Linked DNA regions of Arabidopsis thaliana. The protein of the gene in region 2 interacts with the protein of the main gene of each other region in a pairwise test. Each region holds a gene or a part of one and is shown on either strand. Other genes may lie near its edges.

Region 1 (5,945 bases), on a different chromosome or scaffold from region 2:
ACATGACAGTTTGGTTTGCAACAAGATAAAGAGGCTGGGTTCTCTTTTATTTTTTCAGTTTCTGTAACTTTAAAACGATTAAATTTCCGTTGCATTTGATGTAAACACGTTTTTCCGAATAAATTTTACAATTTATTCAAAACAAAAATGAAAAAATTAGTTAATTATGTAACTACATCCATAATTTAAGTTACCAATCACACATAAATAATATTTTTTTGTAGAAAATGTGAAACTATAATTTTTAGTGTTTTAATCAAAGTTACTTTGTAATTTGTATAAATTCATGTTGTGTTTCACATATGGCGTATTTAAAACTTTAGAATTAAATTTTAAGAGAAAGGTACTATTTGATATTTTCACATATAGACGCTTATTATATGCTAATTTTCATGTATTAATTGATTGCACAATATGCGAGTGAAACATTCAAGACTTGAAATTGAATCGTAATGATTTTTGTCTCTGACATGACATGCATGAATGCAGAGGAAGTAAAGGCAAGATCAGAAGAACCAAAACTCTCGACTGTTCTTCACAAACCCTTGAAAATTGAACCAACAAAACAAGAAGAAGCAACAAGATCACAAAAGAGTCAAAATCAACGACCTATATGTTTCTTCAGCTCCAAGAAACTCAATGCTAGCATCATTAGCTCAGAAAGAACTCGGAGTTTAAGCTCTCTCACAATAGCCGCATTTGTGGTTTTACTCCCGAGATTGAACATTACAAGCTCAAACACTATCTTAGCTTTGAGACCTCTTTGGTTGCTTATTCTTACAGATTGTGCCATAGTAATGTCTCATCTCACTACGGAAGCTTCTGGAGGAGGATTGAGCCATGAGATGGAAGAAGATGGAAAGGGAAGAGATGGTAATAATGGAGAAAACTGGTCTGATGCAGAGAGGCTTCTAGAAAGAGGAGTTGTTGTGTATCAAGCTCTTCGTGGAATGTTCATAGATTGTAGTCTTTATATGGTTGTTGTTGTTATTTTTGGAGCCTCTCTTTTTTAAGTTTGTTTGTTTTCTGATTGTTATTATCTAATTACGATTTTGTTTGCCTTGATGCTCTTTCGTTACAGAAATTTTTTATTTGAACTAGTAAATTTTTATATCAATCCGCTCACATTTTTTTGGAAACTAAATTAATATACCTTCTCTACTTCCATTCCAATGTTTTGGAGTTTTTTACAAAGATTAGGGAGGCTTATTGCGAGCAGGATATTTTATAGTTTTAATTTTTGTAAGAATCCACTGTTTATAGGTTAACGAATTCCAAATTCTTAGTAAAATCCATTGTTATTAGTTTGAAGACTTTGAAATTCCTTTCTAAAATCTCTAGTTATTCAAAAAAGTTAGTTACCATTGATTATCTAATTAATTCTTTCAAATATCAAATGTTATTGGAATATGGATTCTGTACGTCTCAATTATTTAGTACAAAAGTCATATTGTGCATGCATTCATATTGGCTTTTTTTATTTCTTTCTTATTTTTAATAGGTCTACTAAGAAGTAATAATATCAAGATCAGAAGAATCATATCCAAAAGTAAGAAAAAGTAGGCCAAAACTTTCAAAAGAATCATATCCAAAACTAAGAAAATATAAATATATCTAGTCCTTTTAATCTTGATATAAATGAAATACAATACAAACGTAAAGTTATTCAAATCTTACAAATTTTGGTGTTTTATGAAAAATCATTTTGTAACGAAGAAATCTTGAACTTTTAATTCATAATCTCTCTGGATTTAGGATCAACCATTAGTAGGAGATGTTACGTAAAACAGTCTTTTGCACATTCTTGGTTTGATAAATAACATATTTAAACTAATAACGTTTCAAATGATTCAATCGCGATATTTTTCTAACTATAAGATAGTTTTAGTTGTTGTGAATTTCTGATTGATATATGACCTCAAAAGTAGTAAGTTTATCTAAAGAAGATGAGTGACAATGGGAAGCCCAAAGAGAAAGGAAGTGATGTCGTAATCGGCCCACTCCCACCGCTTATCCTCTCCAATCACTTCATTTTCTCTTTACCATATAAAATCTCCAAACCAATTTGTTTCATCCAAAGAGTTATGGTCCACCATCCACATCTTTCGCAAGAAAAAACTTGCTTTAATAATATTCTTTTCTTTCTTTAGCTAATTAAAATCCATAACAATATTTCTCTCGTCATCAAATTATTTCCTTAAAAATTTATAAGATCGGATATACACTAGAACAAATTTCTGACCTCATGGTTTCTTTCTGAACACAAATCTCTAGACGTGCATCAAAACCATTAGCCACGTGTGACGTTTCGAAACTTTGTTTGGCGACATCTCTTCTACGAAACACCTAAAAGATAAATATGTAACTAAAATAATTTAATTTCCAAAAGAGTGACTAACATCTTTTTCTTTTTTATTTTTGTTATCAAGAGTGACGAGTATTTATACTCGACTTTTCTTTTGGTAAACCACACACACAAAATCTTAAATAAGAAGAATCTTTTAAATTTTTGTGTTGAGTGTGAAACAAAAAAATATGTGTTACAAAATTCTTCTACCTCTTGTTATTCCTCCGGAGAGCTTCCACGAAAATACTCCGGTGGCAGAAGTGACGGTGGCAACAGATGTGGAAGCCACCGCTGGTCACCGTAGCGGTGGTGACGGTGGCGGTGGAAAGAAGAAGTGTGTGTGTTCACCGTCGAAGCATCCAAGATCGTTCAAGTGTAGGTATCATCAACATGAATATCAATGGCTTCCTTCTTCTTCTTCTTCTTCTTCTTCTTCATCCCTCCACAAATAACACATATCATCAATTCATCATGTAAACAATAATTATATTTTTATTATTCATGGTTATTTTGATTCGTTAAGTATTTCAATCAAAGTAGAAATTGTGTTGTGGTTCTTGTTTTTCTTAAAATGCTTATTCGTCAGAATCTTTATATAACGATGTTGTTTCATCTCAAAGTACTAAATATCGGCAGCAATAATCTTTTTAAAGGAATACGTGGTTACTGTGATTTCTGTATAACTTATTAGCTTTTTCGCTTAAAAACGGTTCATAAAAAAATGATGTTACGTGTCGTGACTAATTAATCAACCGTATGAGACTATACTTCTTCACAATTATTTACGCATTTTCATATGGTTTTGGAGTTTCAATTTTCGAGATACAACTTTCACTAGAGAAATATCGGAAAACATAAATTACATTTGTGAAAATTCGTAGAAACACATGTGCGAAGATCAATCATGACCCATGAATGAATGTAATCGATCTCACGGATGATCTACAGAAAGTGAAACCACAAATAACCCAACACTATACTGTAATTCTGTATCATGGACGGTTTGATACGGTTTGGATTTCGGTTCGATTACGAATCATAATTGTATCCTTAATTTTCTAAATCGGATCGGTTTGGTTTGGTGCAAATTGGATCGGTCTAACTTAACGTCTCTAAAATCCGCAAAATGTGCTTATAGTCAAATCCGTTAGTCTTTTATTGGGCTTACAATTTAAGGCCCATAAAAACCCAATGACGAAGCAGGACTTGCTTTTTGATAGCCGTATAGAGACCGACACCAAATAGCCGAGAAACAACGCAAACTCCGATTGAGAGGTGTTTGCATGATTCCTGAGCTTGTCTGTGTCAATAGTGAGGCACTACATCGAGGAATAAGAAAGAAGATCTAAGGAGCTAAAGCTATTATGTCAACGAACACTGAATCTTCTTCTTATTCTTCTCTTCCTAGTCAAAGGTATAAGCTTTCTCCAACTTTTTCCTCTGATCCAACTCTTTTTGTTTGATCTTCGTTTACTTTACCTTTTTTTCCTTCTTGGGTCATTCTAAATACTGAAATTTTGTTCTTTGAGGGTCAAATTAACAGTTGATAATCAGACCATGGAGTTTTTTCAGTTTCATGAGTGTCTTTGCTCTGCTCACGACAGATTTGAGATCTAGTCATGGTTCTGTTTGATTTATTGATGTCAAATCTTGAAATGTTTATGATCTCTAGGTTTCAGTCTCTTTGCTTTTTATTATGATCTTCAAACATTTGGATTAGTTTTATCAGTTCTGATTCAATAAACTAGTGATATACATTTGGCTTTTGTTTACAAATCTCTCAACTTCAGATTTGTTATTTTGTGTCCCATTTGATTCATCTTTACCTCCTTTGCACGTTCTGTTTCAAAACTGGATTTGTGGTCCTTTCTTTTCACCATTGTAGTTTTGTGGCCCAGATCTTTTTTTTTTTATTTTGTGGCCCAGATCAATTTATGAATAAAGTTCTTTTTTTTTCTGTTGCATTTTCTTTCACTGGTCTTAAGTTTGATGTAACATCTCAACCTTATTATTAGGAGACTATGGTGCGATTGGTTTAATCCAATTTAATTACTTGCTTTTAATCTCTTGTGTTCTTGATGTGACAGGCTTTTGGGTAAAGTGGCATTGATCACTGGAGGAGCCACAGGGATAGGTGAGAGCATTGTTCGTCTGTTCCACAAGCACGGTGCCAAAGTCTGCATTGTTGATCTGCAAGATGATCTCGGAGGTGAGGTGTGTAAAAGTCTGCTTCGTGGTGAGTCCAAGGAGACGGCTTTTTTCATCCATGGCGATGTTAGAGTGGAAGATGACATTAGCAATGCGGTTGACTTTGCAGTCAAAAATTTTGGGACGCTTGATATACTTATCAACAATGCAGGATTATGTGGAGCACCGTGCCCTGATATTCGTAATTATAGTTTGAGTGAGTTCGAGATGACCTTTGATGTGAATGTGAAAGGAGCTTTTCTAAGCATGAAACATGCAGCTCGTGTAATGATACCGGAGAAGAAAGGGTCGATAGTTTCCTTATGTAGTGTGGGAGGTGTTGTGGGAGGCGTTGGTCCACATTCTTATGTTGGTTCCAAGCATGCTGTTCTAGGCTTGACTAGGAGTGTTGCAGCGGAGCTTGGACAGCACGGGATACGTGTGAACTGTGTTTCGCCTTACGCGGTTGCAACTAAACTCGCTTTGGCTCATTTGCCGGAGGAAGAAAGAACGGAGGATGCATTTGTTGGTTTCAGGAATTTTGCTGCTGCAAACGCGAATCTAAAAGGGGTGGAACTGACGGTTGATGATGTAGCGAACGCTGTTCTGTTTTTGGCTAGCGATGACTCGCGGTACATAAGCGGAGATAATTTGATGATTGATGGAGGATTCACTTGCACTAACCACTCCTTTAAAGTCTTCAGATGATGCATTTTGCTAAAGAATGTTGTTTAATGTTTATTGTCCGCCAATTTATCATGTCTATCAAATAATTTAACTGTGGAGCTTATTGTGGTTTTAATTGTTACTTTTAGCATTGTAGAAATGTTTGATGTTAACTACATTTCTTACTGGTAGACATTGAACAAAATCAGATTCTCATAATGATTAAAAAGATTGAGTAGCAAAAATATCATAATGATGTATTGATGTTTCTTGAATTAGAGAGGACTACAACTTTGACGAGAAATTGTCTGATTAACAGTATCTACTAGAATCCCACATGCCACTTTTGCCTGTTCATCAAGATAATTATAAAACAAAATTCCATTAATCTGATTAGAAACTGCATACATTTTCTATGATTATATAATCTAGAAAGTCAAATTCAAATGATGAGAAAGTATAAAGTTTGATAAACCAAATAATTGAGTAAAAACTCAAGTTCCTTACCTTTAAAGGGAAACGGAAGAACAAAACGCCAAGTTTCCCGTTAGTCTCCGTAACGGTGTCAAATTCAACGGAGCCTTTAGCTAAATCGTGAATCAAATGAATGACGTCAGGAAACACCATGACGCCGTCAAGCTCAGCCTCCGCGTCAAGGTAAGAAGAACCAAAAGCCGTCACGTGCCCGCCATCAGAACTCACGTGACCTAACGTCTTCCCTCTATAGTCAATCGTGACGTCAAGA
Region 2 (9,950 bases):
AAGCAAGAAACCTATAAGGATGAAAATGTTTATGTGTTTTAAGGTTAAGTTTCCTGTATTTCAAGAGCTTCTTCTATACAGTAGTATTCTCAAGTAAGTCAAATATTTCCCCTGTTTCTCAAATATTCTTCATGATCCCATTTCTTACCATTGTTATTTCTGCAGTTTTCTCGGCTCTCTTTAGCAGACAAGATATCTTTTCTTCCTCTAATGGCTGCAGGCAAGTTGTAATAGGACTAAATTTTCCTTCATCTTACTGCCTAGCTAACCAATGTCATGAGTCTTCATACATAGGAGTATATCAACATAGGCTAAAGCCCAAACAAGGGAAGGGAGACATAACCCGACAAGTAACAAACTTCCAGAGACAAAGACTAGCAAAGAACCAAATACTAGGATCAACACTATTTATAAATATGGATTGTCGGATAATATTTATTTCAATTTTGGACAAGTAAATTGAAAGAGGAAGAGACTAACAACAAATTTTGGGTGTTTTTATTATATACATAACAAGTCTGATTGTTGTCCATTTTATACAAAACAAAATAAAATTGAATCAGAGAAGTGATAGTCGACGATAGATCTCAGCCGGCTCTCAAGAAAAAAGAAGAAGAGATAGTCTCTCCGATCTTCAAATGGGTGCTGCTAAAAACAATGTCGAAATGGAGGAAGGTGCCCTGGAGATCGGAATGGGTAAACAACTATTTGGTTGTTGAATACATTCATTCATTGCAATGTAGGAGGATGCTAAATCTTCTTCCTCTTCTTTTTGATATATATTTCATCTGCAGAGTATAGAACAGTCTCTGGTGTTGCTGGACCTCTTGTTATCCTTGAGAAAGTTAAGGTATATTTACCAAGAAATTGTTCTATGTCTTGTTTTCTTGATGCATTATTATTGATTTATTGGGATTCCCAGGGACCTAAATACCAAGAAATAGTCAACATACATCTTGGGGATGGAACTACTCGACGTGGTCAAGTTCTTGAAGTTGATGGCGAGAAGGCTGTTGTTCAGGTTTCCAACTATTATTTTCCTCATTCAAAATAATGCAACACGGCCTTTTCTTTATAGTACTGTGGTGCTTGTCTAGGTCTTTGAGGGAACATCTGGAATTGACAACAAGTACACCACCGTTCAATTTACAGGGGAGGTATGTTACTACTCTCTTCTCTTGTTGCGTGATATATTTGGTTTACTCACTCACTTTTGCCAATATAGGTTTTAAAAACCCTTGTCTCATTGGATATGCTTGGCCGTATCTTTAATGGTTCAGGGAAGCCTATTGACAATGGTCCACCTATATTGCCAGAGGCTTACTTGGATATTTCTGGTGAGCACTCACTTTAGCCTCCTCTTGACGCATTCTTTTCCCTCTCACTAAAGAGGCTTCTGATCTTTGGTCTCTCCAGGAAGTTCCATCAATCCTAGTGAGAGAACCTATCCTGAAGAGATGATTCAGACTGGCATTTCAACCATTGATGTCATGAACTCCATTGCTAGAGGACAGAAAATTCCCCTCTTTTCTGCCGCCGGTCTCCTTCACAATGAAATCGCTGCTCAGATCTATCGCCAGGCTGGTTTGGTTAAGCGTTTAGAGAAGTCACATAATCTTCTTCAGGTATTGCTTTTCCCGCTGATAAAATATGACTACGCAGACGATTATATGACATCGTCACTCATTTGTAACTCTACGCAAAAGCTGTACATGTGTAACGCTATTCTTTTCAGTATTGACACTAACGTGTATCACCTTTGTTTGTGAATTTGCAGGACCAGGAAGATGATAACTTTGCCATTGTGTTTGCAGCCATGGGTGTAAACATGGAGACTGCACAGTTTTTTAAACGTGATTTTGAAGAGAATGGTTCGATGGAGAGAGTGACACTTTTCCTTAACTTGGCAAGTATCTCAATTAAGATGTAGATGCCTTGAAAAGATATAGCAGCTCTAATGTTTCCTTGACTTCAGGCAAACGACCCCACTATTGAACGTATCATCACTCCTCGTATTGCTCTCACAACGGCTGAGTATTTGGCATATGAATGTGGCAAGCATGTCCTTGTTATTCTTACAGACATGAGCTCTTATGCTGATGCTCTTCGTGAGGTGAAAAAACCGATATAGGCATTTCTTCTGTTTTTTTCAAGGCTTAATTTAGTGGTTAACGTTGATAATTGCACTAGGTTTCTGCTGCCCGTGAAGAAGTACCCGGTAGGCGTGGATACCCAGGTTACATGTACACTGACTTGGCCACCATATACGAGAGAGCTGGACGAATTGAGGGGAGAAAAGGTTCCATCACTCAGATCCCGATTTTAACTATGCCAAACGATGGTAACTTCTTCCTAGTCGTTTCTCTGGTTGTAGGTGTATATATATATATATATATATATGTTTTGTAGTAATCTTTTGATGTCTGAGATTTCTAATATCCATCCTTCTTCGTTGATCAGATATCACACATCCCACACCAGATCTTACAGGATACATCACAGAAGGACAAATCTACATCGACAGGCAACTTCACAATAGATAGGTACAAATGTTGCGCGGAAGATAAAATTATTTTCCTCGAGAGAGTTGTGGGCTAAATACACCTTGTGTTTGTATTCCATAGATAAACCCACCGATCAATGTCCTTCCTTCTCTATCTCGGCTCATGAAGGTAAAGTAAAGTCTTGTAGATTTTGGACTGGAGGAAGGTATCTCTATTTGGTAGAGATCACTCAGGTGTGCTGTGCAGAGTGCCATTGGTGAGGGGATGACTCGCAGAGACCACTCTGATGTTTCTAATCAGCTGTATGTGAACTATGCAATTGGAAAGGACGTACAAGCAATGAAAGCCGTGGTTGGAGAAGAAGCACTCTCGTCCGAGGATCTGGTCTCTCTATCTCTGTCTTTCTAAATGCCATGTTAAATAATGAATAAACTCTAAGCGTTTCTTTGTCACTCACACTGACAATAAAAACTTGGGGATGCATGCATGCAACAGCTGTATCTGGAGTTCTTGGACAAATTCGAGAGGAAGTTTGTGGTACAAGGAGCTTATGATACACGTAACATCTTCCAGTCGTTAGACCTGGCCTGGACACTCCTCAGGATCTTCTCCCGTGAGTTGCTTCACCGCATACCGGCAAAAACCCTCGACCAGTTCTATAGCCGAGACTCCACCAATTGATCGATCATCCCATGCTTCTTCTCCAAATTGCATCTCTTTTTGTTTTGCTCCTTTGCGCTTTGGTTTGCACCTCTCTGTCCTTTCCCAATAAAAGGTGACTGACCCAATCGCCGGCTATTCTTTTGAACATTCTTGTATCCTTTATTTATCAAATAAACTAAAATTAAAAGAACCTTGGAGACTTGAGCTGTTGCTGATCCTCGAATACTGCTTCAATTGCGATGATATATCTATCTAATAATAATAATAATAATTCCAGAGATAAGTAATTCCAAGAACATACATAACATCGACATGCTTATTATTAAACTGATGATAGTCAATTGTAAAGAGGACAAGATAATAAGAAATGTAAATTGGTCGTCACTGATGACTATTTGTTCTTCTGAAAAAATTGCCTTCAAAATTTTCTGAATATTTTTAATTTATAATATGATTTTGAATCATTATCTAAATATTTTAGTCGATTTGAAATGTTAAACACACATTTTCGTTAATTAGATAATATTAGGTAATATGTATGTTTTCTAAAATTTAAATTACAATATAAAGTAAAAGATTTTTTTTTTTTTGTTACTTTATGTATTATATAATTATTCAAAACAGTTTTAAAATCAAACAAATATGATAAGAGAATCATAATTTTAAATCTTCTAATAATAAATATTATTAATTTATTATTAAATATAGAATATTCCGTGTATGAGTCGGAAACAATTTGAACTGACCTTTTAAATTTTCTATGAACAATAAATACAAACGGATGGAGCATCCATAGAATCCGACAGCATTTTACCCCACCCGCCAAAAAATTCTTGTTATAAATTCTTAATTGCTCTGTTTTACCATACTCACGTTTTCATTGGCTATCTTTGACCGCCTTCTCTACAAGTGCTATAAAAAATTTAACAGCCTCGTTTAAACGTGATTACCAATGAGACGGCCATAATCTTAAAAATCACTCAAAATCTGCCAACCATTCATGACCTTGATATCAAAATACATTCAAATGTATAGAAATACAAAATTCAATAGCACCTAGTAAATTTAAAAGTAAAGCTAAACATTCATGACCACTATAATTTTGGATCAAACAATGCAAACGCAGCACATGACCGAGTCCGCGTCAGAAAAAGGGGCCAACTGCTCCGTAGCCGCCAAGAATCTCGCAGGTGTGGAACTTTCCTCCTTTATTCGATGAATCTCTTTCTTCATTCTTCTTCTTCGAATTGTACGTTTATTGAAAGACAAGTATATTTTCTTATTTACTATATAAAGTAATTTCACTTTCTCAGATCCCGATTCCTCTTGATCATCGTCTTCTTCTACCAAAATTGTTGCGCGACAATGGAGAAATACAACAGTTTATCAGATTTTCTCAAGGAGTTCTACATCCCTACGTACGTCCTCTCGGCGGAAACAGAAGAGGAGGAGGAGGAGGAGAGTCGTCCTACACCTGCGAGCCCCGTCCTTGTCTTCATCAACTCCAAAAGCGGTGGTCAGTTGGGTGGCGAACTCATTCTCACCTACCGATCTCTTCTCAATCACAATCAGGTCTTTGATCTCGACCAGGAGACTCCAGATAAAGTGCTCCGCAGAATCTATCTTAACCTGGAGAGGCTCAAAGATGATGATTTCGCTCGTCAGATTCGGGAGAAATTAAAAATCATTGTAAGAGAATGTTGTTTTCTTTGTTTCTTTCTCTCCAATTGAATGAAACATCATCTAATGCCATCCATTATTATTAGGTTGCAGGAGGTGATGGCACTGCTGGGTGGCTCCTTGGAGTTGTATGTGACCTTAAATTGTCACATCCTCCTCCAATTGCCACTGTACCTTTGGGTACAGGAAACAACCTTCCCTTTGCTTTTGGATGGGTGTGTGTCTTACTTACTACTACACTCCTCCTCTCAATACACTTGCCTGCATATGTTTTATTATTATTATTAAGTGTATGTATCTCTCTACAGGGAAAGAAGAATCCAGGAACAGATAGGACTGCAGTGGAGTCGTTTTTGGAACAAGTGTTGAAGGCAAAAGTGATGAAGATTGACAAGTAATGTTTTACATATCTGTCTCCACAGTAGTTTTTATTAGTCTTTACTTTTGGTGAATAACTAACAGACGACTATCTATCTGCTGCTTCAAGTTGGCACATACTTATGAGGATGAAAACTCCCAAAGAAGGTGGTTCTTGTGATCCTGTTGCTCCTCTTGAGTTACCACATTCTCTACATGCATTTCACCGTGTTTCTCCAACTGATGAACTAAACAAGGTGATTTACCTTCTTCTTCCCATTATTATTATATAGCTGTGTCTCTTCCTTTTTTTTCTGTCTTATCTTATATAGAAACACACCCTTTATGTTTTTCAGGAAGGCTGCCACACTTTTCGAGGAGGGTTCTGGAATTACTTTAGCCTCGGTGAGATATTTTAGCTTCAATCTAACTTTGGATTTCCCACAAGTCATTAGCAAAGTTAGATTTCCCCTTAGGAGTTGGTTGATGAGCTAACTTATTGAGTTTCAATCTAGTTATTGCATTGTTTGTATTGAAATTAAATAAACGAAACCAGCTGATATCCTTGAAAGACAAATCTCCTTGAAAGTTCTTCTTTCTATTGTGCTTATGAAGGAATGGATGCTCAGATTTCTTATGCGTTTCATTCTGAGAGGAAGCTTCACCCTGAAAAGTTTAAGAATCAGCTGGTTAATCAGGTACCTTTTGAATTTGACCTTTTAGATTACACCTTCTCTTTTAATACCCCTTCACTGGGATTTATACTAAACAAAGAATAAATACTTTGCATTTTGCTTTACAATGCCAGAGTACGTATGTAAAGCTTGGTTGCACGCAAGGATGGTTTTGTGCCTCTCTTTTCCACCCTGCTTCACGGTGTGTAAGATGTAGACATACTTTTCGTTTCATTGTTTTCTGTTTCTGAGTCTCAGGTCCCCCTCAACTTCTCATTCTCATTCACTGTTTTTCTCTTTCTGAGATTCTTGGACATGAATGATTATAATGCTCTGCAACACTACTGCCTTATCTTTTGTCTTTAGTATACTGTTCTAGTGTCAGTAATTAGAAATTTGGTACCCATCATTATTTTCAGCATTTGTTCTTTTTACTGCTTGGGTCTCGTTGTGTGCTAAACAACATCAAATTTGAAATACTCTCCAACATCAATATCGAAACATGTAATCTTATGCTGGTTTTATATTCTCGGTTAAGTGGTTCACATTTCTTACATTTCCTGTCTTTTGGCTGTAATTTAATTTCTGTTTATATATGATTTTGCTCTCTATCACAATGTTAAGGAAAGCTCTATGGCTTCCAATGCAGGAATATAGCTCAGCTTGCCAAGGTTAAGATTGCAACTAGAAATGGCCAGTGGCAGGACCTCCACATACCACATAGGTAATTTTTATTAATCCTGAGGGATCCCATTGGACACAGTTCAGGATGGACATGTTGGATAGTCTTGGGATCTTTCTCTGTTTGTAACCTTTAACTATATATGGTTACATTTCAAATGTTACAAAGCAATGGTTACATGATCGAATATGAACTACTCCAATTCGGACATTTGTTTCTACTCTTGCAGCATCAGGTCCATTGTATGTCTGAATCTGCCCAGCTTTTCGGGAGGATTAAATCCTTGGGGCACACCAAATCCCAGGAAACAACGTGATGTAGGTTTTACGAACTCTTGACATTGCCTGAGTGCTACATAAGTTTCTGATATATCCTCGTTTGTGTATTTATCTTCGCCATGGTAAAATAATATGCATTTTTCTTTGTTGTGACACAAACAGAGAGGCTTGACTCCACCATTTGTAGATGATGGCCTCATTGAGGTTGTTGGGTTTAGAAATGCTTGGCATGGTCTTGTTCTGCTCGCTCCCAATGGACATGGGACACGACTTGCCCAGGTAAGAATTGTACAAGTTGGAAATGATAACGATACACACAAATAAAGATGTGATGATTGAGTGCATACAAATGATAACTTCTGTGATTAGGCAAATCGTATTCGCTTCGAATTTCACAAAGGTGCAACCGACCATACATTCATGAGGATGGATGGGGAGCCCTGGAAACAGCCACTGCCACTGGATGATGAAACTGTGATGGTAGAGATTTCACACCTTGGCCAAGTGAACATGCTTGCAACTCATGACTGCCGGTCCAGAAGTGTGTTTGACCCTTCAACACCCCGCCATCAGGATGGTGCAGAAGATTATGATGATAATGAAGACGACTCAGTGGCTGAAGGCGAAGAATTTAGAAAGTTTGGTGCTGCGGATACCTTCAAGATTCCTGATGAGGTTGATATTTCTCAACTTAGTTAGACAATTAACCATTTTCATTGTTGATTCTATGCATTCTTCCTCCGGACTCCAATTTTTTTATTCACTCTTTCATAAAGGAGCCAACTAGCAGCAACTGGTTTAGATTGGTAACCATCTTTTTTCTTTGCTTTTGTTTGGTTGTTCACGTTTAATGGCCGAGATAATGTATCTGGATTTATAGCAACACAGATTCTCGTTTAACGCACATGTACTGCAGCAGTTAGCAGGACAGTGCAGAGACGCCAAATGCGAAACTTTCAGATGTTGCAACTCCTAAACATAGAATCTGACCTTTTTTTTATAGGGAGAACACAGTAATAAAAAAGGAAGGGCTTCAAGGAGGAGAAATTCAAATGTTCATGGTTGGTCACATGTGCTCTGAAGACAGTGCCTAAATCTTAAAGAAACTTGTCATATACTAGTAACAGCACAACAGTAACCTCATCAATGTATAAAATACTACATGAATCAACATTATGTAAACTCATGTAATTGAAAGGAAAAAAAGCAAACATATACACGTCTGAAATGTTCTTAGAAATGAGATATATATGTTCTTGGGCATAGTTGTTGCTAAGAAAACAAAAAAAGAAGTCACAAATGATTTTCTAAGATTTCCGTTCAACCAAGAAAGATGGGTTATATAGAGTATCTCCCAGACACTTGGAGATTGTTTCGTTAGCCTTCTGAGATTGGGCTCTTTCTCCTTGCTTCTTCTTCTCCCTGAGTAACCAAAAGTATAAAGATCCAAGTTAGGCTCTATATAGAAGTTTCATGGTGCAGCAAGCACCGTATATTCATTCAAAAATAGACCAGTGCCTAGTCTATTTAGATAGGGATTCAGTATCAGTACCTCTCGACATACTCCTTAAGCAATTCCTTGGCTTGGACAAGCTTTGAAAGCAGGTTACGATACACATCCAGGTCCCGATCCACGCTTTTCTTGTTGATATTTAGGGATGCACAAAGCTGTTTCATGAGACACAAAGATCAAAATTACCGTGAGATGTCAGAGAGAATACAGTTGCACATTGCCAGTGAACATAATGGATACAAAACTAGCAACATTTCTTCTTCCTCTAAACACAAGATTAAGCTGTTAATATAGATTAGCAAACCGAAGACGAATAGAATCACCTTGTCCAAGACAGTTGGATCAGTAGCACTTGCAAGCTCAAGCAAACGAAAGAGCCCAACAGCGAAGAACCTGCTGTAACTAAACCCCTCCTTACTACCAGCTCTTCCTGCAATGTCCTTAAGAACTGCTTCAATATCTCCTTCTTTAGAGGAAAAGTCAACTAGTGAAGCAGAAGTCTGACTTCGTGCCCATTCCTCCATCTTCTGAGCATCAATTCTGTACAAAAAAAGTTATCATCTTTAGAAAAAGACATTCAACAAGAAGACATTCATTATCAAGGAGAAGATGGAAGCAGGAAGAAGCAAACCGGTATTGCTTAGGATCCTCATTCAAGGCTTCAATGTAAGCCTTAAAAATGGCATCTCGGTCTTGATCACTCGGATATCCTTCCATGAGCTGATCATATACAGTGACAAATCCAAGGGCAAAAACAGGATCATAACGATAAGTCTTCTTATACCTCATCAAATGCTGCTGGACAATGAGCTCCTGCAAAACCGTGTTGTAGATACTCGGGATGGGTCGCTTGTAAGCTTTTAGGAATTTCGACTTTGTCTCTGATACAGGAGGCACATCTGACCAACAAAACCACAAGAGAGTGAATGCAGATAAAGTCAGAGCCTTTTTCAATACAAAACAAAGGAGAATGAATTGTGAAATGCAATGTGAAGTTCAAGAAGAGTCACCGGCGGTAACATTGGACATGCAGTGAATAAGAGATTTCGAAGTGGAACGCGAATTCAAAGAAAGGCGAGAAAACTTTGTGCAGATGCGAATTGCGGAGGCGAGAGGACGAGAAGATGCGAAATTGGAGATCTTGTCCGATTGACCCAAAGCTGGGAAGGAAAGAGAAGAGATTGCAGTTGCAGCCATCGCTAAATTGAAGTGAGAAAGAGAGGAGAAGAAGAGTTGTTGTTGTTGCTATGTTTAATCAGAAGAGTTCTCAAGTAATAGCCATTGGAAGGATGATGATGGCTCTGGTTGGATCTTCTGAGTTTCGACTTTCGAGTGGCTTATCCAACTCCACGAGATGTCGGTAGTGTGACACGTGTCCCTTGTCTGTCCACGTTAGGATTAGGCCCATTTACTTTGGATTTTGCTAGAGCTCGGTCCATCTAATAAAAGCCCATAAATAAATGCAGCATATATCACATGTACATAATGTTGCTCTCTGTTTCATTATCAATTGTACAAACTACAAAGTCCGTTTATTCATGCTCAAGATTCATCAGAATTCAACTCGTTAGTACATTGATCGTTTCCAAAAATGTCTTA

Evidence for each region. The genes of interacting proteins can lie anywhere in the genome.
Region 1: the proteins of DGK5 (region 2) and ABA2 interact in a two-hybrid assay, tested with the Arabidopsis thaliana proteins (one large-scale study listed by BioGRID).

What each region holds. Positions count from the first base shown.
Region 1 is NC_003070.9:19,489,294-19,495,238, reverse strand, and holds ABA2 (NAD(P)-binding Rossmann-fold superfamily protein), read left to right. Parts: upstream 1-3,588; 5' UTR 3,589-3,711; coding exon 3,712-3,761; intron 3,762-4,434; coding exon 4,435-5,242; 3' UTR 5,243-5,445; downstream 5,446-5,945. Other genes in the region: AT1G52343 (uncharacterized protein), read left to right, coding at 490-1,013; AT1G52342 (uncharacterized protein), read left to right, coding at 2,536-2,799; AT1G52330 (Late embryogenesis abundant (LEA) hydroxyproline-rich glycoprotein family), read right to left, coding at 5,594-5,945. UniProt on the Arabidopsis thaliana protein: Involved in the biosynthesis of abscisic acid. Catalyzes the conversion of xanthoxin to abscisic aldehyde.
Region 2 is NC_003071.7:8,987,381-8,997,330, reverse strand, and holds DGK5 (diacylglycerol kinase 5), read left to right. Parts: upstream 1-4,055; 5' UTR 4,056-4,357; exon of another isoform or gene 4,358-4,480; 5' UTR 4,481-4,532; coding exon 4,533-4,856; intron 4,857-4,933; coding exon 4,934-5,062; intron 5,063-5,155; coding exon 5,156-5,241; intron 5,242-5,334; coding exon 5,335-5,461; intron 5,462-5,560; coding exon 5,561-5,609; intron 5,610-5,819; coding exon 5,820-5,902; intron 5,903-6,012; coding exon 6,013-6,080; intron 6,081-6,141; exon of another isoform or gene 6,142-6,487; intron 6,488-6,527; coding exon 6,528-6,602; intron 6,603-6,789; coding exon 6,790-6,877; intron 6,878-7,000; coding exon 7,001-7,117; intron 7,118-7,207; coding exon 7,208-7,513; coding exon of another isoform or gene 7,514-7,537; exon of another isoform or gene 7,538-7,841; coding exon 7,842-7,919; 3' UTR 7,920-8,056; downstream 8,057-9,950. Other genes in the region: photosystem II reaction center PSB29 protein, read right to left, coding at 8,146-8,260, 8,391-8,506, 8,675-8,891, 8,983-9,250, 9,362-9,548.